3 linked regions of the Drosophila melanogaster genome follow. The protein of the gene in region 1 interacts with the protein of each later gene in a pairwise test. Each region holds a gene or a part of one and is shown in the gene's direction. Other genes may lie near its edges.

Evidence for each region.
Region 2: the proteins of Adk3 (region 1) and Septin4 interact in a two-hybrid assay, tested with the Drosophila melanogaster proteins (one large-scale study listed by BioGRID).
Region 3: the proteins of Adk3 (region 1) and Tre1 interact in a two-hybrid assay, tested with the Drosophila melanogaster proteins (one large-scale study listed by BioGRID).

The regions. Positions count from the first base shown.
Region 1 is NT_033778.4:7,242,519-7,247,455, reverse strand, and holds Adk3 (adenosine kinase 3), read left to right. Parts: upstream 1-1,679; 5' UTR 1,680-2,154; coding exon 2,155-2,234; intron 2,235-2,312; coding exon 2,313-2,468; intron 2,469-2,940; coding exon 2,941-3,805; 3' UTR 3,806-4,432; downstream 4,433-4,937.
Region 2 is NC_004354.4:16,692,171-16,696,745, reverse strand, and holds the start of Septin4 (septin 4), read left to right. Parts: upstream 1-1,572; 5' UTR 1,573-1,628; exon of another isoform or gene 1,629-2,132; intron 2,133-2,326; exon of another isoform or gene 2,327-2,374; 5' UTR 2,375-2,543; coding exon 2,544-2,703; intron 2,704-4,575.
Region 3 is NC_004354.4:5,673,975-5,681,636, reverse strand, and holds the start of Tre1 (trapped in endoderm 1), read left to right. Parts: upstream 1-1,659; 5' UTR 1,660-1,977; intron 1,978-4,678; exon of another isoform or gene 4,679-4,861; intron 4,862-6,152; 5' UTR 6,153-6,153; coding exon 6,154-6,307; intron 6,308-6,379; coding exon 6,380-6,525; intron 6,526-6,596; coding exon 6,597-6,697; intron 6,698-6,763; coding exon 6,764-6,866; intron 6,867-6,927; coding exon 6,928-7,415; intron 7,416-7,463; coding exon 7,464-7,662. Other genes in the region: Gr5a (gustatory receptor 5a), read right to left, coding at 1-152, 220-414, 476-736, 802-910. UniProt on the Drosophila melanogaster protein: Essential for the first active step of germ cell migration: transepithelial migration of germ cells through the posterior midgut (PMG) epithelium.

The DNA.
Region 1 (4,937 bases):
TAATAATTGACCCATTCATAAAAATTATACGCATATACGCAAATTATACTAATCGTAGTACTTAAAAATTGCTTATTTTACCGTTTCTAACCCCATGTGATATTTTTCAAGATAATCATACTAGTGAGTACCATTTTAGCTTGTTTTATAACAAATATGCATATCTATTACTTAAATACGCATTTGCAGTGACAGAAAATAAAACTATTGCCTTGTCATTCCAGCGCGGAATTCGAGTTGTCACAAGTGCATAAAGGGCACCACTACAGCATTTTCTATTGCTGCGGCGAACGTGCGGATTAGAAGTTTTGGTTCTTCATCCAGCTTGATCCGCACGTCACAATCGAACCCAAGGAATTCAGATATTTTTAGCCTTTTGCGTGGGACTTCAATGGCACCTCTGCCCGTTGCTTTTGTGTGCCATGCCACCCAGTTGTGTGTGCAACATGCGCCCATCACATGTGAAGCCACCACATTGGATGGATTTCATTGCTGGCTTATTTCGAGGGAGAATCGTGGAGCCCACGGAGTGATCGGGCATGGATCGGAGGCACTTCGCCGGCGGTTGCCCCACTGCTGAGTCACGCCGGCGCAGCACTAAACTGGGCCCAAACCCAAACCGAAACCCAAATGCCAAGCGAAGAGCCAAATGAGTCAAAGAGTCAAAAGAGAGTGGGAACTGGTTTTTGAAGAGTTCCCCCACATTCGGCATTCGGCTATCGGCATTCCATTTTAGGCCGGTCCAAAGTCCGCAAGTCTGAGTACCTGCAACCGGTCACCAAGCCACCATGAATGGCCGATGAATGCCGCCCGAATCCTCACGTGCACCAGCATCACGCTGGAAAACGAGATATCTCGCGCCGGCGTGGAGGTCTCCAAGGTGCAATTTTGTATGCAGTGCGGCTATGCTGGGGGATTTCCCATTTGGCTGCGATTGGCTGCAGGGAAAACCCAGTTTCCAAAAGAGTTCTCTGCGAAAAACCCCCAATGCAGTGCAGTTTATTTTTTCGATGCGTGGTTTTTCCCACTCCAAACCAGATACCATAATGTATTCTCTTATTTATCGTGGGGCTTTTGGCAAGGGAGTTTCGGTTATCTGAGCGAGCAACGTTCTTTCCAAATAATTAGGTCTTGTCTCGCATTAAATAATATTGCGAAACATTTGGCAGCGCCTTTCGAATAATGGCGAAATGATTCAGCTGCTCGCTGGTGGGCAGATGTACATCACTTGCAGGGCTGAATTCTTTGCACGATGGTAAACTTGTTTTGAGAACCTGGTGAAATTAAAAAAAAAGGAGGGCAAACAAAGCTGAAACTGAAAGAAAGCCATAACATTTCCGCAAAATGTGTGTATTTCGTTATATATTCCAATTGTAAGGTTCTCTACTTTTTAAAGAGTTGTTACTAGAGCTCAGGTAATTTCAATGTATATGTTTACAGATACTTCGATTTTTATTTATTTACAAAGAAAATTTTTAAAATTTCTATCTGACATAACCGGTTCGATTTGTTCGCGCCGGATGACAGCTCTGTCAAGTTCTCTCTGGCTCTTTCGATTCCTAAGCTTTTACCCGATTAGTGCTTTTTTCGCCGGCAGAGCTTTTCTTGCACTCAATTATGCTTCTTCTTCCCTGTAAACAAAACACGCTCACAGCTGTTTCTTCCGCACTGAAGTGTTGGCAAACGTCTGAATATTACACGCAATATTTATGTAATACGCTAAACAATTAAGTCGCATAAATTATAAAATAGTCATTAGGGATAACTCGATGGCATTTGTGGAGCGCGACTTTGAGTCACCATAGTGCCGCCGCCAAGTACGATAGCCACAATCTGAGCGCCAGCGCAGTGCCAAAAGCTCTGTGTTGTTGAAAAACTCGACAAAGTCAAAAAAGTCGAAAAAGTCAAGCTGCTCTTTGTAGGCCGCTCGATACAAAGGTAAAAAGAAGTTGGCCCAAACAAATTGCCCGAAATGGGAAAAAACAAATCGAGCACGCTGGCGAGAGCGAGATAAAAACACCGGGACAAACCGGCCCGAGCGTTCAGTTCTGTGCCGGACGACAAAAGCGGCGGATCACTGTTGGATTTCATTTCATCCGGAGCACTTGCGAATAGAACGCGAAAGTCCCGAGCAAGCGTTAGTTTTTGCATACAATGGAGTACCTGAGCTACGTGTACGAAAAAATCTTCGGGGGCAATCCTCCCACGGATGACACGCAAGGGGCTTTCCACACGTGAGTATCAGCAGTAGCAGCTGAGGCGGAAAAACCCGGCAGAAAACACCTCTGACCATTGGGCTTTCCCACTTTCAGGCCCCGCAAGGTCATCTGCTTCGGCAACGTCCTGCTCGACCGACTAGTCCAGCTCGAGGATCCCCAACTCCTGGAGCGGTTCGGCCTGGAACTGGGCTCCAAGGGTGAACTGGACATGGAGAAACTCAACCAGCTGGCAGCGGAGGCTTCTGAGAGGTGAGTACCTTTGTATCTTGCCCGATTGTTTCATTATCTTCAATGACTGATTGTAAGAAATTGTACAATTGGACCCAAGTTATGGTTTTTAGTTAGACTGATTTTACATATAAGTAGTATAGTTAAGGTCTTGCAAGTATAATTAGTATCACCTTTCAAAGAAATTGTGAAAAGATACAAAGAATGAACAACAAATAGGACTGGGGCTACAAAGGCTGTTTATACATAGCACTTTTGTACACAACAATCAATCTTTACTTAAGAAGTTAAGAAGGGCCTTCTTTCTAATCTCTAATGACAGCAAAACTGGTTTTTATACCTGTACGAAATCGTCTTACGAAGTAGGAAATGGAAAATGGCAAAGTTACACGGTTATTCTAAAATTACAAGGGTTTAGTTAGTAACTACATACATACATAATAAACAACCTTTGCAAAGCTATACTTACTAATCCGAGTTCAATCCAATTCAGCTCTCGGTGCCTTACAAACCCGGGTGGCTCTGCCCTCAACACTGCCCGCATCCTGAAGCAGCTGGGCACAGACGCGCTCTTCTTTGGCGCCGTGGGAGCCGACAAGCACGCCGAGGAGCTGCGCCAGATCATTCGGGATCGCGGCATCGAGGCCAGGCTGCAGACCGTCGAGGATGCGCACACAGGGCAGTGCGTGTGCCTCATGTATCAGGACAACCCCACGCTGTACGCCAACATCGGCGCCTCGGCTCAGTTCGAGGTGCAGACCCTGAGCCACGCCGTCAGCCACGAAGGCCAGAGCTTCCTGCGACCGGTGGAGCGCAAGCAAATCCTGTACGTGGAGGGCTTCTTTGTGCCCCAGAGGAGTGATGTGTGCGATTACATAGTGCAGCACCTGGTGCGGGAGCGGCGACGCCTGGCTCTCAATCTCAGTGCACCCTACATTGTGAGGAAAAATCACCAGGCTATGATGAAGCTGGCCCGGGCCGCCTTCTTCCTGTTCGGAAACCGACAGGAGTTCGAGGCGCTGGCCGAGGCTGCGGGTGGGTTCCGAAACGTCGACGAACTGGCGGATCATCTCCTGCAATCCGGTGGCACCAAGGTCATCTTCGTCACCAACGGCAGTGCCGGCGTCCAGGTGATCACCAACTACGTGGAGGAGCTGGCTCCTCCCGGACCCGTAAGCTTTGAGGACTTCAGGGCGCAGCGCGTAGAGCAGCTGGTGGATGCCACTGGGGCCGGAGATGCTTTTGTGGCCGGATTCTTGCACGCCTGGCTGGAGAAGCGCTCGCTGGGCGAGTGCATCCGAATGGCCTCCAGCGTAGCCGCCAAGGTCGTCACCCAGGTGGGCTGCAATCTGCCCTAGACCGACGCCGTGCATCGCCACCTCAGATAGCGCACAACAAAGCACCAAAGTAGACTCTTAGCTTGTAATTATTCCGGTAATCTCCCCAAACCTTAGGCTTAGTCAAACATTTGTCCACCATTTCACCCAAGCAATGAACTTAGTCATAATGTGACTAAATAAAAATGATTTATACATCGTCCTATGAAAGATAATAATATTTCTGAGTGACTATATGTGACTACATTTTATAATATATATAGCGAGATTCCTATTGTATGCAATTTTTTAACATTTAAATATCTTTTGATAGTTCTATGTAAACAGATGTTGCTTTCTCAAAAGACAAAACAGATTTATCTAAAACCAGTACATATGTATCTATTTGTAGCACATTGCCATTAAGAATTTGCGTTGACCTTCAGAAGAGCGCAAAGATAAAAAGTGAAATAGGGTAAAATGTGCCCACGTCTAATCAAGCCATGCCATGAAATCACCGGAAGACTCTTTTTAATGGTTAAATATAGATTCGAGAGCATTGTTTTGCGCACAGTGGGTTGAATGCTTACAAATTATTAATTTCGCTGTAATACTTTCTTAGATATACCATTATTCATACTTCATTATTTGAGCAAACATAAGTAAATCATTTTTGACACAGGCCGTCGTTATTTAGGTATACCTTTATATGTAAAATCACGTATTAATTATTCATTAAGAAATGAGAGCATATATATAAAAAAGTAAGTACAGCTGGTGATTGTTCGACCTCGATAGCCTTATTAATACGACTGTGTTATTCACTCGATCGCCGAAGTTCCCACTGGACTGTGGCATTGTGTGAATCGTCATCCGAATCCGTTATCACACACTTAATTCCCCCTGAGATGCCCTAGTACACATCTTTATGCGCATTCCTCGAGATGCTTTATTATCCGCAAAGAAGCGATTCTCGTTTCATCCATCTTATATGGACCGCGTACATCCCACACAAGTCAGTCAATAAGTGACGACTTGGCCCAAAGAGAACTCGCATGCACAGATGCCATCAAAGCGAATTCCGCCTTTGTGCTGGCCGTGGGGTTTGGCTTGGGGTTTGGGCCACATGTTTGCGAATCGTTAACAAAAACTAAGCCGCATTTGGCATGCTTGT
Region 2 (4,575 bases), on another chromosome or scaffold:
CCACCCAATTTCCACACCACCAGACCAGCCCATGTCCGCCCAATCCAGCCCATTCTGGTAAGGCCCCCTGGCCTTGATCTTAAACTTTCCCACGAGAAACAGACAGGTATTCGGTATTCACCTGATTTCTTGCTGCTGCCTTTGGATTTCCAGTTTTCTGCTCGACAGCAATTTCTATTATTATTCTTGCAGCTGCCGTTGATGTTGTTGTTGTTGTTGTTGTTCTCGTTGTTCTTCGCACCTTTTTTTCTGCAATGGGAAATTTGCATAAAATATTCAATCAACTTTCATTGTTCCAGGCGGCTGCCATTGCCGGGCTTCAATTTCGAGCACATAAAAAAAATGCAAACAAACAGAAAGCAAAACAAAGTTCTCCCTCTTTTTTTGGGTAGTTTCTCTTTGAGCCTACGCGATTAAACAAATTAGCACTGAAAACTTGTTGAAACAAATATGCCGCGAGCTTGACAAATTGACAAAGGAAGATTTACGCGTTTCAATGGATTCTTCTTTTCATCTCATCGAGCTTACACTTTCCCAAAAAACCAGAATGAAATCGCAGAGAGAGCGAGTTTTCGAAAACGCGTCCGATTGCCAGCGCCGTTTAAGTTCGACTGAGTTTGTGGCGCGTTGTTCGTGTGCTACGGAGGCCAGAAATCAGAAATCCAGCCGCCAATGCTGCGACCTCCAATCGGGCTGAAAAAGGGTTTTAGTCACGAAAGTTTTTCTTGAAACAATTAATCATTTATATCACTGATTAAAATTATTTTTTTTGTAATTTTTTCCTTAGTTTTTGAATTTTTAAAAGCAATTTTCTTGAAAAGCCTTTTAACCTTTTGGTTTTCAAGACATTCTGCTTTTGCCAGCCTGCACATTTTGAGCACCCGCTGCAATTTTACAGCTGCCAGCTTGTGTCAGTGTGCACAATTGGAGAGACTAAGTTTGCGTATTCAGTATTTTTTAGGTATATTGTAAACTACTTTTACAATATTGTTTAGAAACAAACTCTCTCATTTTCCTAGTTTCTATTCGGTCTACAATACAATTTCTTTAAAAAACAACATTAATACAATTACGATATCTGACCGGAACGGTGGAATATCGAACATGGGGCAGTTTTTTATTTATATATTCTTTTGTTATTTATAGGTGAATTCTAAACAATATAAATGCAAAAAATGTTAAAAAAAAAAAGATCTAACTATCTATGTTCGACCTAAGTTTAGAGAAAAATCGACTCCCCACTCTTTGGGGTATATCTCCACTCGTAGGACATTTCTTTAAGGACATTTCAGGAAAAATGTAGTTGCCATAAAAAATGTTTACCTAGTTTTTGAGATAATGGCACTCATATCATTATTATTATGGACTCATATTAAATACCATTCTTATTTTTAACAAATTTTATTCTTGTTCAAATGTACTTTTAGAGGCTCAAGTTTGAATAAAGTTGTTGAAGTGAAATGGCGCAAAGTAAGACCCTTTCATCCAGCAGTATTATTTGTTCGGTATTTTTGCTGGTATTTTCGGTTCGAATGTTTTTGGAAATGGAAAAGCAGAGCAGAGCTAAATTGCAATCAGATCTCGACGCGACGGCGGTGAAGAAGCATCAGTAAAAGCGCGCGGAAAGTGTATGTTTCAAAACTCCGCTCAGAAAACCATATTTGTTATTGTAAATAATATTCCCTTAGAAGTTTGGAATATTTCCCGCGACAATTTTTTTTTCGGTGAAATTTCATACCGTTTTGCCACAAAAAAAAAAGAGGAAACCAAAACAACGGAAATAGTTAATAACAAAGTGCGTGAGCCTTTTTTTTATTATTATTTTTCGTGTGTGTAAGAGCGGTGATTTGGCGCTGTGTGTGTGTGTGTGAGTGTATTGTGCATCTCACTGTTACTTGTGGTCGTGTAGGTCAAGGTGAAGCAGCTGCACCGTTAGTTTTCCACCCATTGACTATGCAGTTTTCAATCGCAAATGCATTTGATATTATGCATATGTGTGTGCAGAAACCCTAAAAAGTCAATATTGCAGTTAGTAGCTCTCTTTCGCACTGCCCACCCTGCCTGCCTCCCAACCACCCTCCCTCCCGCTCGCACCTCATCGAGTGAGATAAGCACTAGATAAGCATGTGTACGTAAGTTACTGTTAAGCTTAACCCTTAGTGAACAACAAACTTGCACGCAAATGAAATGTGAGGTTTAAAAATATATAGAACACAATTAAACAAAAATATGAAACAGTAATTAAAGTGTGGGAGTTAATCCCCCCAAAAATCGCAACTATAACCGATTAATATGCGCTAATAAAACTAAATATATATATTTTCAGTACTTACCTATGTTATAAATTAGTTGCCCATTTTATATTAACTTTTAGTGTCAATTTAATGTGGCAGCACTAGCAGCTGGCAACGTGCAGCAGTAACAACAAAAACATAAAACAACACCGGATTGTGCAACCTGCAACTTGCAACACAAGCGGCAAAACGGCGTTTCTACCGCAGCGTCGCCTCTTCGGCGGCGGCAATGTGCCCCCCTCGGCGACCATGAAGCATCAGCCGCCGCCCCCGCCACTCCCGCTCAGCCAACCGCCCACGATGGGCGCTACAGCGGCGGGGGGCGTGGCCAGCGTCATAAGCACGATGAACGGCAGCAGCAGCAGTGGCATTGAGGCGGTTAAATGCCGACCACCCATTTACCCCAAACGTAAGTAAAAGCCTCTTTCCATGCTGCACACAAATTTGTAAAAAAAAAAAAAAAAAAAAAAATCAGAAAAGAAGCAGACGAAAACATCAAGGGGTTGATGAAGCAGTTTACAAAGGGGTTCACCGTTGTATTGTATTGTATTGGTATTGGCACTACTTACTTCTAATGCGTAAAACGCATTCCCAGAAAACTCTGGTATTCTCATAATTTGACTGAAAAAAGACAATACTGAACACAGTAAAATTCCTGGAAATATGAACGTAATGAAATGATGTAATGTTTGTGAGATTTTCGAAATCATCAATCAACGAAAGATAAAACAGATCACCACCATTTTCGCTCGGTTAAGCTTTTATTTGGAATTATTAATTAATTTCTTAGTAACTCATATCTATGATGCATAGCTAAACGAAGCCTACATCATAACATGGCTCAAGTTATCATACCAAATTGATAACGAGAACGACCTTTAAAGATAAGCGGTTGATTAGCTACAGGCCCAGTTAACCGAATGACATTAGTTTAAAGAATGTTAGGAATATTATAATATTAACATTTAGGCACAACTCCACATCTTGGCTTACAGTGCATTTGGGTTCCCTTTTTTCCACGGGCCAATTGCATTTGGCTGGATCGATCTTATCTGGTATTTGGCATTCGGTATCTGGTAACTGGGATCTGGAATATGGGATCTCGATAGGCTGCCCCATTACGTGGGGCCCACTTCGCTGCTTTTCCGCCGACAAGAAAATTGACTGGCCACCGTAACTACGTATGTATATGTACAAATATATATGTATGTATATATGTACATACTGTATGTATTTTCCGATGGTTTTGGTTTCGGTTTTGGAGGAAAGTCGACGGCGGCGGCTTCCTTTCCTTTTTGCCCACTTCACTTTGTTTTGGCTTCGCTTTCGCCTTGGATTTTTTTCATCAACTTTTTCTTGGCTTTTCGACTGGGGAGTTTGGACTGAGTTGGTTGTTGGTTGCGACTGCCGTATTTGGTAGGCGTAGACTGTGTTTTTATTTTATTATTATTTTTTTTTTTTTTTTTGCCCCATGTTTTCTATTTTGTTCCTACTTCTCAGCTTGTGTAGTGTGGCCGCACCCAAAACCACCCAGCACAATCCCAATTGCAGATCGGTCTGGGCCTTGGGTCTTTGGCTCTTTGGTCTTGGCCATTTGGCTACTTGGCATTGGCCTTAACTTGGTAACTTGGTTACTTCGGTGGGCAACGTGACCGCAGCTAACGGTTCTCCTGGTTGACATGTCGTTAGTGGCCGATGAACATTTGTGTCGCCGATATCGGGCTACGGCCCTCCTAACTTGGCCGAACGACCTATTGGAATCTATGTTTACTATGCTACACCGCAAGAAAACGAGGTCAATTATAAGCTTTTCAATTGTATTTGATGTCTATCTCAATAACTTCTCAATGGTCATATTTTTGATTAAAATTAAAAGAACACAGTAACGTCTTAAAGTAAAAGATTACATTGATCCCAAGATGTTATCATCATACTTATTATTATATTATTAATCACTTATGTTCTAAGACATTTATGACTCAGTAAGATTTGTTAATATCCATTAAATTCAATTGGAATATATTCCCAGCCGGTTCATATGGAGTGTAATATTTTTATATGCATTTATTAATCGATTCACAATTTGGTGAGCAATAGTTTTTCTCACTTCATTCAGCTAGCAATGACTAGCAAACACATGTTTACATACAGACATCTAGAATAAAACGTGATAAGATAAACGCAATATTTATAAATTTTCACTGAGCTCACCTCAACTGGTGTTTTATTTTGTTAGTGGATTATACAGTGTTTACTAGCCAATTATAGCAAGTAAGCCAGT
Region 3 (7,662 bases), on another chromosome or scaffold:
CTGGATCTTGCCCAGCCAAGCCAGCCAGTTGGAGTAGGGGAACACTTCGAATAACTGGGCACTGGCGCCAAGCAAATAGGATTCCACGGGATCGCTTCTTCGTGGGCAGAAGTCGTAGTAAACCACCGAAATGATGCTCAGCAGGTGTTCCACTGGAAAAAAAAGCACGCCCGGTTATACTCAGCGAAATCCAAACCCAAACAAATTTGGTGACCCAACTCAGTGAAACTACCAGCAGCACGAAGGCCACCAACTTGAGGCGACGGGCAGGACGAGCACGTTGCAGGCAACAGGTGTAGCCCGGTAGCCGTCGCTCCACCGCCGCCCAGTGGCGCATCAATCCAGGCCAGAGTTGGGCCAGGTTCAGGAACTGCCAGGAGGCGATCAGGATGCTAACGTGAAAAACGATGGGCTCTAAATGGTAATTAACATATGCAATTGGTATGTTGCGAAGAAAAGCATCATTTAATCTCACCCACACTGCGCACATCCAGCACACTGTGGGCCACACGGCGAATGCTGAAGGCCAGATCCACCGACGTGGAGCAGAGGTACAAGGAGCTGTACCAGAATCGCCAGCTGCGCCGATTGAAGCTTAATCCCCTGTACGTTGGAGCACTGATTCCACACACGGGCATTAGGCAAAAGCACTGGGCCACCGCCAGAACTGGAGCAACTGCCTCATGGAAGGAGCCATCGTGTAGGAAGTTCTTTCGCGTTCCCCGCACCTGGCTTTCTGGATTGTAAAAGGTAATTAAGATGAACGTACTCATGGGATTCTAACGATTTGGATAGATTCACCTCGAATTTGTTCCAAACCGCTTTTAAGATTTTTCAACCACATCTTGCCCTGAACTTTCAGATGCCGAACAGCACGATTGCACCGATTTCGCCCTTTCAGCTGTCGCATTGTGTACAAGCTCTAAATCCTGACTAAACGGCAAAAATGCAGCAGGATATCATAGAAGTCCACATGTTATCAACTAATGGCCAGTGATGAGGAATAAAACAGGTCCGTGTATGATATTTGTAAGTAAATATACTTTTTATGTACATCTATTTGACGTGCATCTGGTTTTTAAGAATTTAAAATAGTGCTCTTAGTGGATAATATTAATTTAATACGTTCTGTTCAAATATTTATACATTTGGCATCACTTGTAACGAGTATTTAATTAGCGCGACCTTGAAACTGAATGGCTCCACAACATGCAAATTGGCAGCACACTCCATCAGTTATGAACTTGGCACTACTACTTGGAAAATTATATGATAAATGATTGCTTGGTCAAAAGAAACTATGTGCAGCTGTCGCTTGGCGCAAAATTGATTGCGCATAGATGAGCTGAAAAAAAGTCATCATCATAAAAATGTGGCATTAAAAACTAACTAACTAACCGCAAGTGAATAGAAGTGAGTATAGAACGAGAGTACTAAATTTCTTTTTTATTTCAAGGAATTTAATTTCTTTGCAAGCTACTTTTCTACAAATATCCTTTAAGGCGGGCTTAGAATTTCAAAAATCGATAGGCGCCTGCGCAGCGCGTCAATCGATAGAACGCCGATTTCTTAGATCAATAGAAAAGTTCGCATCGAACTTGTTGCCAGGCAGCCAACATGTTCGATCGCGCTCGGACTAAAAAACTGTAGCCCAGCCGCTCATTTCGTTTGTTGTTCTTGTTGCCGCTGTTGTTAATTGACGACAGTGAAAATACGACACTTTGCGCTCTGCGATCGGTTAGTTAAGTTGGCTTAGTTGGCCCAAGCAGCGCTTCTGTTTCGATAATTCAAAAGTCGGAATTGTGAGAAGGCCAGAATCGGCTGGTTGTATTTATTTTGTTCCGTTTATTTTTGTTACTGTGCTGCGCGGAGCGATTTAATGTCAAATCCAAAATGCAATTCGAAAGCATTTAAGAAACGCCAAACGAAGTATAAATTTATAATAAGCGGAAAACAGTGAAACGGGTTCGAGTTCGGGTGAGTTGTTGTTTTGTTATTATTTTCGTTGGTTTTTTGCGTGCGTGTGTGTGTGTGTGTGTTTCTCTTTCAAGACCAGAATCCAAATCCGGCCAAAAAAACGGCCTTACCTTTGTTAACAATTTGAGTTGCGCGTTTTTATTGTTATTGCATTTGGTCCAAACGCACACACAGAGAAGCGCAAACTGCACGCGCGCGTGTGTGTGTGTGTGTGTGTGCATTTGTAATGGAACGATAATGGAACGGCTGTTTCCACAATTCAAAATATGGCCATCCTTCTCGCTCACATCCCAAATCCCGAATTCCACCCTCTCACAAAACAAAAAAAAAAAAAATCAGCAAAGAGGGGAGAAAGAAGTGGATGGGCAAAGAGGATGCATCGGTACACCGAGAAAAACAAATCTACATTAGGCAGCCAGCCAATTAAGGATAATACCCAAATATCGCAATCTTAAATTCATTTGCTTATGCTGTTGAATCTTTTCAGATTTCAAATTGAAAATTTTTGTGAATGTGACATTCCTTGAGTCTCATCGAATTTTTAAACAAATGAGTCATTTGTTTATTTGCACAAAATGAGCCAGACTTGGGAAAAATAAATTGGAAATGGAAATGAAAGTCAGGCTTATAAAGTCTTTTGTTGTTATTTAAACAGATTGTTTGATACCGCCGCTTCCGATTTGCTTTCTCTTTCGCTCTTTCTTTCTTCCCTGTCCAAACATCAGCTGCATGAATCATCATCTTCATCCCCCATCCCCATTCGCCCCCTCCCCCCACCCTTTAACCCACCGCAACAGTTGGTAGCGACTCATTCAGCTCAAGTCTCTTAAAAACGACGAAAAGCAAAGAAAAACCCAGCTCCAAAACGATCCACAATACACATGTGCACTATCTACATATGTACATATGTATGCTCGGGCTTATTCAGTGTATATTATATATACTCGTACTATATATGTATGTATGTACATACATACCCCCCATATCGGAAACTTATTTGGTATTTAGCTTTCGATTAGTCAGCGAAATGCAACAAAAGTGGGAAATATGTATTTCTCGTGCACCGACACGATCAGAAAATAAAATAAAACGGAAGATAATATCGAGTAATTCTCAATATTAAAACAGAGGTCCTAACTCAAGAAACCCCAAATAACTGCACATTGATCTTAAATTTGATTTACTGCATAGGTATTTTCCGAAAACCCATTTAATCCCAATGTAATTAGAGTCGTTATAATACATTTTATCTATCATAATGTTTAAAAAGATGACATGAGATTATGCCGATTTAATTGATATCACGACCAACACAATCGGGGCATTCACAGCCTTATAAACGGGGCTAGATAAAAACGGGCAGATATTGATCAGAGGAACCCTTTAAGAAAATACATATGTACAAATGCGTCTAACCTTATTTGCATTCGACTTTCCGCCCGCTACATAAATACTTGATTGTAAATATTTGTTGATTGATTATTTATAAAGCTTCGTTCCGCCTTTTTTTTTGGACGGTGGGAACCCGAGGCTGATAAGACTTTGATGTAAATATGTATATATGTACATAGCGCATATCGTATTCCTTATGTGCTTAGCTGTGTGTACATATGTACATATGAATGTACATAATGAGCATACTTGTGAGGGGCGCGATCTGAGTGTTATCTCTGATATCTGTGCCATCATCATCGTTGCAAACTGTTGAGGGGCAACTGGCGGCACACTCGCGGTTAGCACTTTAGCTGAATTAATATATCTAGAGAATTATATATGCACATAGCTAATAGTTGGACCTCTTGAAATGCCCTCTGCTGTTTGGACACGCATTTATGGGTAGGGAATTAAACGAAACGGCATGGCGCATGGTGCTCATTTCGGACGGGATGCTCCGGGATGCATATTCAGATTTCCATTTCCAGTTGCGGCCCGATGCGCTCCCCCTATTCGGAAACAAAAGCCAGAAAGTAAGAACGAACTGAGTAGAACCGAGGAGACCGAAAAGAACTGAAACAACTCACATAGAGTTGGAAAACAAACACACATGTTGATCATGCATGAAAGCGGACCGCTGCTCCGCCCCCTCCCCCCCTCCCCCCTCCATTCCTTGAACTCCCCATATTTGGACGGATGATGAGGGGTTCCCAATCCTAAACCCATTTGCCGTTCCCAGAAGCATGAAACCACCACGCACCGGAAACAACGTTAAATGCGTAACAAGGCGCTTTTTAATTTAACCGATCCAAATAAAAGAATTAAATAAATGGAATTGTGTCCACATGCAAAGCAGTTGGAGGACAGCAGCGTTATCAGCATTTCGAAGCCCACGAAAACGCATGACGAACGGGCGGCTTAATTGAAATTGTCATTGATTCAATACGCAACATGCAGAGCAGCATATCATGATGGTCGGTTCGTTCTTCGTTTCACTGGGAAAAAGCGAAATTGAATCCATTTTGATTGCGTTTGTGTCGCAAGAGCAACACATTGCCTGCGCCACATCGCGTTCGCTTATCAACGGGCGAAGAAAGGAAAATGTACATTTAATTGGTCGTAAAAAAGTGCATTGTAAATGTTAAAGTCGCTGATAGCTTCGGGCCGCTTGTTCGCAATGATAACGACAGTGTAACAAATTCCAGAGGGGAGCCCCTTCCAAAATACGAGATTCCAAAAAAAAAAAAACAAAAAAAAGAAGAAGCGTTTCGAAACTCTGAAGAAAACCCAGAGAAGATAAGAGCGTACTTGACAGCATATAGCAAAACTATTGTACATTTCCAAATTTCAATTGGAATCGAAACGGGAACAGTCAATCGCTTGGGTTATCGGAATAATCGCCTCAATTGCGTGAACCTATCGACACAAAGTGCATTGGTATTGAGTCAAAGTAAGGTTTGCTTATATTAACTTTCATAGATTGCATATTTTTGCCGGCTTATTCATGGGAATAAGAAATGTTTGAGCTGAACTCGATAGCTCAACAATAACACGACTTGGCGTCAATTAAATGATAATACGTGACTAGACCATGGAAATCCAATGTATTGCTATTGGATACAATACATATACAAGTAGTTGTTGAAAAGAAAGCAGCGAAAACTGGTCAGGTAATGAGTCATCATCATCGGAGTCATCTTGGCTGATTAGCACAAAAGCCAGTTCTCATCTGTATGCAAATGGCTTAAACGCTTCTACGTACATAAGTAGTTGATGTTGTTAAACAGGAACTTAAGATGCCACCAACAACAGTTTCCACAGCAATTAAACCCAAATTTTTAATTGCGCATAACAGGCGTCTCTCATGTTCCTGTCCGCATTTGACATTGATCTCCTTCTGAATCCTGATTCGATAATATGTAATCTTGGGGCCATCAATCACGCAGTCAGCAGCGATTTGATATATGTATATATAACACCATATTATTCAAAGCCGTTTGCCTTGCTCGGTTGATGAGGAAATTGGTGAAAAACTCGAACTTTTGATAAAAAAAAAATTCGTACAAATGTGAATTCAAATGGCGTGCAAACCGGCTCGATCATTACGATTCGCCAGTTGGCCAGCTTGGCTCGGCAGAAATCTTATAACAAAATCCGTTTACATAAATCAAATGTCTCGGATGCGATAAGCTGGTGGGAGTACGCAGACTTCCTCGCTAATCCCGTCGATCGGATCGGGTTTTTACTCGGTGTCACCGACGACAAAACTGGGCTATTGCATCCGCAAAGCGGTGATTAGTTATCTTTTTGTATTACTCGTACGTTCATTCATTCACAGATTTTCCACGCGCCTGAAACTTGATTTTGCTGATTACATTTCCTTTATCGCGGAGCACAGAAATGTACACATTAGTTCGTTTAGATAGTTAAATTCTTAACAATCCCTTCTTAACAAAAGCATCATGCTTCTGGGCAATTAGGAATGGTAATTTCATTCATTTCTCTTCATAAGTTAATTGTTTTCAAATAACCAAGCGGATGCATATTGAGTTGTCTACATCCGGCTATTAACTTCCTTTTTAATTACTCATGATACGGGCTAACAAATTAAAAAAAAAAAAACAATAGGATTAGCATAAGCGATTTGAATGCAACCAATTTAAAAGATACAGCTCCTTTTCCTGTTCAAAAATAAGTAATTGAAATTGGCTAATCACATCGTTTGCTTGTTTCCCCCGCAGAATGGATCAGGACATGGGCATGGCAACGGGCTACTTTCAGGACGCAGACATGCAGATGGATGAACCGGCGGCCGCCACGCAATCGATCTACCCGCATTCGGCGACATTATTCGCGGCCATTAGTGCCTGTGTCTTTGTGACGATCGGCGTTCTTGGTGAGTAATTGGCATCCCACATTCAGCTCCTCGATTAGCTAACCTGTTTCTCTATGCTGAATTGCCGCACAGGCAACCTGATTACCCTGCTGGCGCTGCTCAAGAGCCCCACGATACGGGAGCATGCCACAACCGCCTTCGTCATTTCGCTAAGCATCTCCGACCTGCTCTTCTGCTCCTTCAGCCTGCCACTGACCGCAGTGCGATTCTTCCAGGAGGTGAGTCATTATACCTGTGAATGTAATATACAATTAGTGAATGATTATAATTTGCTCGATTCCAACGACAGAGCTGGACTTTTGGTACCACATTGTGCAAGATCTTTCCGGTGATCTTCTATGGCAATGTGGCTGTTTCACTCCTCAGCATGGTGGGCATCACCCTGAACAGGTAGGCCCAAGTCTAGTCCGCATTGTCGCAAGCTAATCCGCAACCGTCACCCTAATCCCCTGGCAGATATATACTCATCGCTTGCCACAGCCGCTACTCGCAGATATATAAGCCTAAGTTCATAACCCTGCAGCTGTTGTTCGTTTGGGCCGTCTCCTTTCTGCTGTTGGTAAGTAAGGCGTCTTCGATTTGTGTGCACACATTCAACTAATCGGTTTTTATCTTCCCAGCTGCCGCCCATATTGGGCATCTGGGGCGAGATGGGCCTGGACGAGGCCACCTTCTCCTGCACAATACTCAAGAAGGAGGGGCGATCGATCAAGAAGACGCTGTTCGTGATCGGCTTCCTGCTGCCTTGCCTGGTGATCATCGTTTCGTACTCGTGCATCTACATTACGGTGCTGCACCAGAAAAAGAAGATTCGCAACCACGATAACTTCCAGATCGCAGCGGCCAAGGGCTCCTCGTCGTCCGGCGGCGGATCCTACATGACCACCACATGCACGCGCAAGGCGCGCGAAGACAATCGACTGACCGTCATGATGGTCACCATCTTTCTGTGCTTCCTCGTCTGCTTCCTGCCGCTAATGCTGGCCAATGTGGTGGACGACGAGCGCAATACCTCGTACCCCTGGCTGCACATCATCGCCTCCGTGATGGCCTGGGCTTCCAGTGTCATTAACCCGATCATCTATGCGGCCAGCAATCGCAACTACAGGTAAGTTTGCTGGCAGTTTTGGCTGCTATCGGGTTTAGCTGCTAATAGCGAATCTATCTTCTATTTCAGAGTGGCCTACTACAAGATCTTTGCGCTGCTCAAGTTCTGGGGCGAACCGTTGTCGCCGATGCCGAGTAGAAACTATCACCAAAGCAAGAACTCCAAGGAGCTGTCGGGCGTCATCCGCAGCACGCCGCTGTTTCACGCTGTGCAGAAGAATAGTATTAACCAAATGTGCCAAACATAT